Linked DNA regions of Mus musculus. The protein of the gene in region 2 interacts with the protein of the main gene of each other region in a pairwise test. Links are inferred from orthologs where the notes say so. Each region holds a gene or a part of one and is shown on either strand. Other genes may lie near its edges.

Region 1 (4,544 bases), on a different chromosome or scaffold from region 2:
AGACAGACAGACAGACAGACAGACAGACAGACTCCCTCCCTCCCTCCCTCCCTCCCTCCCTCCCTCCCTCCCTCCTAGCTGCTTCTGGTATATAGTCTTAATAAGTTTTCATTTAACTCCTATGTGCCTCCTGTTGGTAGATCACTGTACTGACAATTAGTATTGAAAATTTCTAATTTGTTCTAGGATGCTTAACTATGATATTTTTGCCTACAGATTCCATGCAAGCATGTCTTTTGCTATGACTGTGCTATTTTACATGAAAAAAAAGGAGATAAGATGTGCCCAGGGTAAGATATGATCATCTTTAGATGTTCTAGTAGTAGTGGCTTATAAGCAAGATGGGTTAAAGGTTTTGGAGTAATGGGACTAGACAAGGATGCAAACGTGCTGGCTGAGCCACTCTGTGTGAACCTGGAGTTAGTTTTCCCCTTCTCTGGAAGATGGAGCTAGCCATTGTCAGTTCATTCAGAGTAGCTGAAATGATGACATCTCTGGGAACAGTGTTGGACAGCAGAGCGGTTTCTTGTTTTCTCTTTTGTGTGTGTCTGGCATACCTGGAAGCAAGTATAGCGTGGTTTGCTGATTGAGAACAACCTCTTTCCAAAGTGAGAATTAACATCTTTTATTATTAATTGTATGTGAATAATGTGGCGGGTGGTATGAGCATGTGCCAGGGTCAGAAGGCAACTTGGTGGAGTAGTTCTCTCCTTCCAACTTCACCTATGCTCAGGGGATGGAACTTAGAAGAGCAGGCTTGCATAGAAAGCACTTTACCTGCTGAGCTGTCTCACTGGCCCCAGGATTAGAATGGTTGAGGTCAGGTCCCCATTTGACTATTGATCAGCTGTGTGGTACAAGTGGCTTTATAGCTATCGGCTCCCTGTATTCTTTTTAAGATGAAGTAAGGATTAATGAACAGTAGAATTGGCATATAATAAACACTACTATTCCTGTTTTCCAATAACCCAAACAGGTGTGTTTTGGGTGATAACGACATCATGATAGACTCGAAGTTATACATCATGGTATCTGTCTTGGGATAGCTCTATAATAAAGTGAAAATTTATATTAATTTGGAACCCCTGATAAGAAAGCCTTGAGAAAAATGGAGTGAAACTTTGGATTAGCTCAAGGGTTTCCAGATCCTCTAAACCTAAAATTGAAAGTACCCCAAGGAACACCATTGATTGTTAACAAAACTATAAACAACTGTAAGAAAAGATTTCCCCTCTGTGGTGCAGGATATGGGCTTTGCTAAGAAAAAAAGGGGGTGATTTGTTAATGACCCAATGACAACTGATTTTCTTGGTATATTTCATTAGGTTTTTAAAGTTATAGATTATGAAATATATACTGTGTTTAAAAGATACTACTATATGTTCTATAGAGTTATAATTCAGAAGAATATAAAATTTGGAAGTATATATTGTAGCCTTTGTTGAAGTATTTCTCTAATGCCTTTCCCAGCCCAGTGTTGTGCATTAGCTTAATATAACATGTGATTGTTCCATTAAGATAAAGAATTAAAATGTAATGCAACATTAAATGTAGTGAACATTAAAAGATTCTCTCTTTTACATAGATTTTTTTTTTAATTTATTTACCTATATTTTATGTGCATAGGTGTTCTGCCTGCATGCCTGTCTGTGTGAGAGTGTCAGATCTTGGAGTTAACAGACAGTTGTGAGCTGCCATGTGGGTGCTGGGATTTGAACCCAGGTCCTCTGGAAGAGCATTCAGTGCCCTTAACTGCCAAGCCATATCTCCAGCCCATAGAGGTTTCACTATTACTATTTAAAAGTGCAATTTAGTTTTCAGGTAACTAAATGTGTTCTAGTATGCACTTCACCAGTGTAGTCTTTAGCTATCTAGAGAGAAACCTGTCTTAATTGTCAAACCAAGGGCAGGAAATAAAGTTACCAACCAGAATTAATTTAAATAGTATATGCTACTGCTTTTGGGCATCATGCAAAAGAAAAGACCTTACCCTATTTAGCATGGATATGTTTCTGACTGTGTAGTAATTAGATGGCTGAAAAGCAAGAAATGTGCAAAGTGGCCACAAATTAGAAGCACCCTAGCTCCTACAAGGAAAAGAGACAACTCCCTGGTTGTAAATGATAGATCCTTTGCTTTGTCATTCTTCTATGTAAATCATACTATAGTTAGAGAATATTAATGAGCTGTAAGTATTGGGAAATAGAAGGTCTCTTAAGAAATTCTATTTTGGTGTTTAGAGTTCTGAGGTAAAAATAGTCTCTGGTTGGTAGAGATGTTGATGATTAGTTTCTGATACAAATAGAAAATGTTAGAGGTCCACTAACAGTAATTCAATACTCACTGTTAACTTTGCAAGTATATTATATTTTAAATTAAAGCTTAAATTAAATGTGCTGTTTGTGTTTTGGCTTTAGTAAATCATTTTTTTCTTCCTGTTTAGATGTAGTGATCCTGTGCAGCGGATTGAGCAGTGCACACGAGGTTCTCTCTTTATGTGTAGCATTGTTCAAGGATGCAAGAGAACATATCTGTCTCAGAGAGACTTACAAGCTCATATCAACCATCGCCATATGAGAGCTGGAAAGCCCGTTACCCGTGCTTCACTTGAGAATGTTCATCCTCCTATTGCCCCCCCACCAACTGACATCCCCGATCGGTTCATAATGCCACCAGACAAGCATCATATGAGCCATATTCCTCCAAAGCAGCACATCATGATGCCACCGCCTCCTCTGCAGCATGTGCCACATGAGCACTATAATCAGCCACATGAGGATATTCGTGCTCCTCCGGCAGAATTGTCCATGGCTCCACCTCCACCTCGTTCGGTCAGTCAGGAAACCTTTCGTATTTCAACAAGAAAACACAGCAATTTAATAACGGTCCCTATTCAGGATGACTCCAGTTCAGGTGCTAGAGAACCACCACCTCCTGCCCCAGCACCTGCTCATCACCATCCTGAATATCAGGGTCAGCCCGTGGTATCTCACCCTCATCATATTATGCCTCCACAGCAACATTACGCACCACCCCCACCTCCTCCACCACCAATAAGCCATCCAATGCCACACCCTCCCCAGGCTGCAGGTACTCCTCACTTGGTATATAGCCAAGCTCCACCTCCACCAATGACCTCTGCTCCACCCCCAATAACCCCTCCCCCTGGACATATTATTGCCCAGATGCCACCTTATATGAATCATCCTCCTCCAGGACCCCCTCCACCTCAGCATGGTGGTCCACCTGTAACTGCACCCCCTCCTCACCATTACAATCCTAACTCTTTACCCCAGTTTACTGAAGACCAAGGAACTCTGAGCCCTCCATTTACACAACCAGGAGGAATGAGTCCTGGTATATGGCCTGCACCAAGAGGGCCACCTCCTCCTCCACGAATGCAGGGCCCGCCTTCTCAAACCCCACTACCTGGACCGCATCATCCAGATCAAACAAGATACAGACCGTATTACCAGTGATCATAGTGTTTTGAACTGAAGATATGACAAGGAAAAAAAAGATTAGTCAATCTTAATTGACCTTTGACTGTGGAAGGAAAACTACCTCTTTTGAGGTAGCTATTAACACAAGTCTTGTCTCTCAAAATGGTTTTAATCTGACTAGGATTGCTTTCAAGTACTATTCTGTAGTGCAGATAAGTGGCTTGGTTGAGCACAATTCTATCTTAACTGTTACTTTGATGTGATAAATTTTCCCAAAACGACCATTTGTAAAAAATTGAAAAAAAATTCACTGTTCCACTTTGAGAAATACTGACTTTATTAAACCCAATGTTTAGTTTTCTTGTGATGCATTTTGTTAACCTGTGTAAAAGAATTAAATTTCAAAATGGTTGTAAAAATGCTATTTTTATGTGAATTTAAGTGCAGCCATATCATTTTTTAACCCATATTTTACCACTAATTTTCCAAGGTTAAAATCCTAAAAGTAAAAATCTACTAAATCGTTACCAGGCAGACTGTTAAATGTAGGGAATTATTCACACTTTAGGCACTGAAAGTTCAAAGTGTAGTTCTGTAATACGGTTCACTCGGATGCCTTTTCACAGCAGCTGCAGATCATCAGCGTTTCTGTAACTGTGCTTGGCTGGCATGTCTCCAGGTAGTGTGTAATTGGGAAACCGACCTGCTCTACAGGCTCTAAGCTGCCAGTGAGTGCTGTTCTCATTGACGCTTTTTCTGAGTGGCTACAATCACATAACTTGTCACACTTAAAGGTCTTAAGTTACATTATTTTATAGGACTGTTTAAAGTTGTTATTGGATGAAATGTGCTCTCTGTTCACTGTCTTAACCTACATGTTTGGGGCTGACTAGGCTTTATTTAAATCTCCTTTTTCTCAGTTTGATTCTGTGTTTTAGTGCATAGTGTGTTCTTATTTATGGAATTACACACTGCAGTTTGAATGATGTGGAGGAATCTGACTAATGTATTAGCAGACGGTGTTCCTTGTAGTCACAAGCTAGCATGTACTCGGGTTTTTGTGGCTGTGGTGAGTTTTTCCTCTAAGTTGAAATTTTAAAA
Region 2 (5,400 bases):
TCCTGCTCTTAGCTGGGTGATGATGAGCCCATTTTCATTGCATGCTTGGGAGACAGTGGTATTGGATGGAGGGCTGAGTGAGCAGCGGATGGTGCCCATGGCTGAAAAGATGAAGGAGAGTGGAGATGCTTGGAGGGAATCTGTCATTTTTGTCCGTGGTCTTTGTTCTGATTTTACCTGTCCTGGGCTTGGTAAAATGCCATGAGGATTTCAATGATCAAAGATACGGGGTTTTGCTTATTGAGGATATACCTTGACTTTTTTTGTCGGGGGCAGTAGATAAAGCTGGGGAAATTCTCTTATTAGACATTGGAAGCAGAAGTGGTATCAGGAGCCAGATGTCAAACTTGTTTATCATTTTTGTTATATTGTTTTTTGAGAAATGATCTCATTTGGCTGGACATGAGATAGTCCTCGTTCAGGTGGCTACCCACCTGCCTGGTGGGGTGAGGCTGTGGCATTCCAGGACAGTGGCTTCCCCTGGTCTTTCCTGCGTGTGGCTCATCACTCTTCCCTGCCTTCCTTCCTTGTCTCCAGTTCTGATCCTGCTGCTCCTACTGTTTCTACGGAGGAGAACGGTGGTCAAAGAGCCCCTGCTGCCACCAGATGATGATACCCGGGACAATGTGTATTACTATGATGAAGAAGGAGGTGGAGAAGAAGACCAGGTGGGTTTTAAAGATGGAGAGCTTTAAGTCTGATTAAGGGGTGTTGGGTAGGCTATGTCAGTCATCACCCTGCTGTACTGCTATGGAGGACAGAACTCTGTGGTCACAAGAATTCAAGTTTCTTCCCCCAGACACTCTTGTGTTCTCTACACTGCTGGTTGATTACATTGAGACTCACAACATCTGTAAATCAGTGAGGGCCTTTCCCAACCAGGCAGCGTTGTGATGAAAGACTCTAAGCTGCAGCCTACGCTCGGGTCTGCTGCACGGGAGCCTCATGTGAGTTGCAGTAGGCATGCATTGCTGTCTTATTGCCTGAAGCCCCTCACATGCCAGAGCCCGTTTTTAACAGACAAGACACTACTTGTATCAGCTGTGACGGGGAGGACTAAGGATTTGCCAGGTGATTACCTGATAATCATGTCCCGAGAAACGAGTAAGACTCAATAGCTTGAGTTCATGCAGTCCCCAAGGGCTCCTTTTTCTTTCAGTTTGCATCAGGAGACTTGTAGTTTGGAAAATGCCATTTCATATGCATTTGGGCACTTGGGGGTCGTTTGCTTTGTCCATCAGCATAGTCTGTGATGCCATGAAGCAAGCCCCGCCCTGTGCGAGCAGCTGCTTCTTTCTCACAGGCTCTCATGCTCTGCTCTTCTCTCTAGGACTTTGATTTGAGCCAGCTGCACAGGGGCCTGGATGCCCGACCGGAAGTGACTCGAAATGATGTGGCTCCCACCCTCATGAGCGTGCCCCAGTATCGTCCCCGTCCTGCCAATCCTGATGAAATTGGAAACTTCATCGATGAAGTAAGTAGACAAGGCTGTGAGGCAAATCACAGTACATCTCTTAACTCCGAACCAAGAAGAAAAGCGTTCTAAATGAGGAGAACCTTCCAGTGGTTGCTGTACTGTGCCTATGTCCCCGAGACAAAAGCAAAATCTACTTGCAGAGATTTAGGAGACCTAGGAGTTACAGAGCAAATCTGCTTTGCATGAGTTTCCTGCATTCATTACACCTGTTTGGGGGAGTGTCACAGGGAGCCAAAGGCCGCTTGGCAGGTAGATAAAACAGCATCTCAGCTACATGAGGACCGTAGTTGGTGCCTCAGATACACTGTAGTTGGCATCCGAGGCACCAACGTAAATGCCGAGCAGGCATGGTGGCCTGTTTATTCTAGTGTTCAGATTAGAGCATCCTGAATCAGCAAGCTCTAGGTTCTGTTGTCTGAGACCTTGTCTCAGTAAATGAGGTAAAGAAAAGTTGAGGAAGACCCCTGATATTGTCAACCTTGGGTTTTCATATGCACATGTGCACACAAAAACACGCTATACATAGCACACACAGTGTTTTCCAGATTACCTAAGGCCCCTAAAAATAGCATCCCTCATGTAACATACTCACGTAACGTACTTATATGTGTTAGAAATAGTTTCAGCTCTGATCAAAACACTTAAACAGATAATAGGAGATGCTGGGTTCAGCATTCTATTCTGTTGAAAACATATGCACATATATAACATATTAACTCTTCTACCATCCTGCTCCATTATTTTGCTGTCTTAGGTGTGTTTCTTTCTCCTCTTTTCTCTTCTCTTCTCTTCTCTTCTCTTCTCTTCTCTTCTCTTCTCTTCTCCTCTTTTCTCTTCTCTTCTCCCCTCCCCTCCCCTCCCCTCCCCTCCCCTCCCCTCCCCTCCCCTCCCCTCCCCTCCCCTCCCCTCCCCTCCCCTCCCCTCCTCTCCTCTCCTCTCTTCTCTTCTCTTCTCTTCTCTTCTCTTCTTTTCTTTTCTTTTCTTTTCTTTTCTTTTCTTTTCTTTTCTTTTCTTTTCTTTTCTTTTCTTTTCTTTTCCAAGACAGGGTTTCTCCATGTAGCCACAGCTGTCCTGGAACTCTCTTCATAGACCAGGCTGGCTTCAATCTCAGAGCCCCACCTACCGCTGCATTCCCAAGTGCTGGGATTAAAGGTGTGGGCTGCCACTGCCCGGTATTGGTTACTTTTTTTTTTTTCTTTTTTGCTGTGCCAAGATACCATGCCTAAGGCAGTTTACAGAAGGAAGAGTCTAATTTGGGGTTCTAGAAGGTTAGAGTCCATGACAATCATGGCAGGGAGCCTGGCAGCGGGTAGACATGCACAGCTGGAGCAGGAGCTGGGGGCTCAGGCCAGCCTGGTCTGCAAAGTGAGTTCCAGACAGCCAGGGCTATACAGAGAAACCCTGTCTCAAAAGACAAAAACAAAAACCAAAAAAAACCCAAAAACCAACCAACCAAACAGAAAAATGTCAAGCCTTGGCCATGCCTTTAGTCCTTGCACTTGGGCGATAGTAGGTAGCAGGTGTATCTCTGAGTTTGAAGCCAACCTGATCTACAGGAGGGAGTTCCAGGATGTCCAGGAAAAACCTGGATTCAAAGAAAAGCAGAAAAAGACTGAAGCCTGTTCTCAGTAGCACACCTTCTCCAACAAGGCCACACCTCCTAATCCTTCCAAATTGTTCCAGCTGGGGACCAAGAGTTCAAACACTGGCTGGCTTTGTATGTACTCGCTATGTAGATCAGGCTGGTCTTGAAGTATGTAGCAGAGGAGGACTTTAAATTCCTGATTCCCCCAACTTCAGAATTAACATTTAACAATAGCAGTTTGTCATCTGTCCTTCGAGGATTTTCTGGGCTGAACTGTAACCTACGTGTTTTAGTATGACGACTCTCGTTGCTCTTACCCTCTGTCCAGCCTGGCCTTGGGACTTTGCCTTCTGTGCTGGTGTGTGTGTGTGTGTGTGTGTGTGTGTGTGTACCTTGAAGGGGTTAACTACTCCTTGGTTAGTTTTTCATGTTTGGGGTGTTGCTTGCCTCTGATGCATACTGATAAGTACGGTGCTCTTCCTTTTAGAACCTGAAGGCAGCCGACAGCGACCCCACGGCACCCCCTTACGACTCTCTGTTGGTGTTCGATTACGAGGGCAGTGGTTCTGAAGCCGCTAGCCTGAGCTCACTGAACTCCTCTGAGTCGGATCAGGACCAGGACTACGATTATCTGAACGAGTGGGGCAACCGATTCAAGAAGCTGGCGGACATGTACGGCGGTGGTGAGGACGACTAGGGGACTAGCAAGTCTCCCCCGTGTGGCACCATGGGAGATGCAGAATAATTATATCAGTGGTCTTTCAGCTCCTTCCCTGAGTGTGTAGAAGAGAGACTGATCTGAGAAGTGTGCAGATTGCATAGTGGTCTCACTCTCCCTACTGGACTGTCTGTGTTAGGATGGTTTTCACTGATTGTTGAAATCTTTTTTTATTTTTTATTTTTACAGTGCTGAGATATAAACTGTGCCTTTTTTTGTTTGTTTGTTTCTGTTTTTGTTCTTTTGAGCTATGATCTGCCCCAGACACAACAGCCCCAAGCCCCTCACACCTCACTAATTTTTTACATTGTGTACTTGCCCTCAATTACCATGTTTGCTGTATTCTAATAGTCACTCATGTTCCTGAATTCTGTTGCCCTGCCCAGGTGATATTCTAGGATGCAGAAATGCCTGGGCCCTTTTATGGTGAGAGACAGGTATCTTGGTGTGGGTGCAACTGCGCTGGATAGTGTGTGTGTTCCCAAGATCTTTCGTGGTATTCCCTCTCCACCTCCAGAGAACTCATTTACAGTGGCATTCCTTGTTCGGCTATGTGTCTGGGGCAGAACAAAAAAAAGGGACCACTATGCATGCTGCACACGTCTCAGATTCTTAGGTACACACCTGATTCTTAGGTGCATGCCATAGTGGGATATGTTGCTTTGATCAGAACCTGCAGGGAGGTTTTCGGGCACCACTTAAGTTTCTTGGCGTTTCTTTCAAACCAAAACTAAAGAATGGTTGTTCTCTGAGAGAGACTGGAGTGCCACCACCAAAGACAGAGGAGAGAAAAGGAGAGAAACCAAACTTGGGGACAGCAACATCAGCGAACCCGGCTAGTTGGCACACCGATGGTGAGGGTACACAGGCGGTGAGACCTATCCCACAAGATTTCTGGAAGACTAGGCTTATCTCAACCAATGTTTTCTGGCTGGAATCTTTGTCCATGTATTCCTGAAGCCCAGGAAATGCACCCCTCCAATGCCTGCTCTTGATGGTAGCTACAGAAAATGCTGGCCGATTTAAACCCAAGTTGCCCAGTTCTGAGTAGAAAACTGAGACTATGCTGTGTGTGGCGGCGCGCACCTTTAAGCCCAGCACTCAGGAGGCAGAGGCAGTCAGATCTCCCTGAGTTCGAGGCCAACCTGGTATATATAGTATAGTAAGCGAATTCTAGGACAGCCAGGGCTACACAGAGAAACCCTGTCTCTGCAAACCAAAAGAGAAAACTGAGAATATTACAAATTGTGCATTTTCTCAGGAAGCAGGAAGAGAACATTCTAACGGGAAAAAGGAGACAAGACCTTTGAGAGTTTTCATTCAAAATGCAAATCTCAGCTTTTTGATAACCACTGGAAAGAATTTTATTGAAAGTTCTGTACTTACCTAACTTTGGAAGAAAATGATGACCACAATCAACTGTGAGAACTGTTGATTTCTCTGTAGTTTAATCATGTAATGTTGCTAGAGTGACCTTTGTATGTAGTTTGAGTGTATGTGTGTGGGTGCTGATAATTTTGTATTTTGTGGGGGGTGGAAAAGGTAAGCCATTGAAACCGTTCTCTAAGATGCATTTTTATGAATTTTATTAAAGAGTTTTGTTAAACTGTTGTGAGGCTC

Evidence for each region.
Region 1: the proteins of Cdh1 (region 2) and Cbll1 interact in a two-hybrid assay, tested with the Homo sapiens proteins (2 studies listed by BioGRID, with this or other methods). The link is inferred for Mus musculus from reciprocal best matches to the Homo sapiens genes CDH1 and CBLL1.

The regions. Positions count from the first base shown.
Region 1 is NC_000078.6:31,486,214-31,490,757, reverse strand, and holds part of Cbll1 (E3 ubiquitin-protein ligase Hakai), read left to right. Parts: intron 1-216; coding exon 217-290; intron 291-2,443; coding exon 2,444-3,479; 3' UTR 3,480-4,544. UniProt on the Homo sapiens protein: E3 ubiquitin-protein ligase that mediates ubiquitination of several tyrosine-phosphorylated Src substrates, including CDH1, CTTN and DOK1. Targets CDH1 for endocytosis and degradation.
Region 2 is NC_000074.6:106,664,857-106,670,256, forward strand, and holds the end of Cdh1 (cadherin-1 preproprotein), read left to right. Parts: intron 1-537; coding exon 538-668; intron 669-1,330; coding exon 1,331-1,474; intron 1,475-3,549; coding exon 3,550-3,759; 3' UTR 3,760-5,391; downstream 5,392-5,400.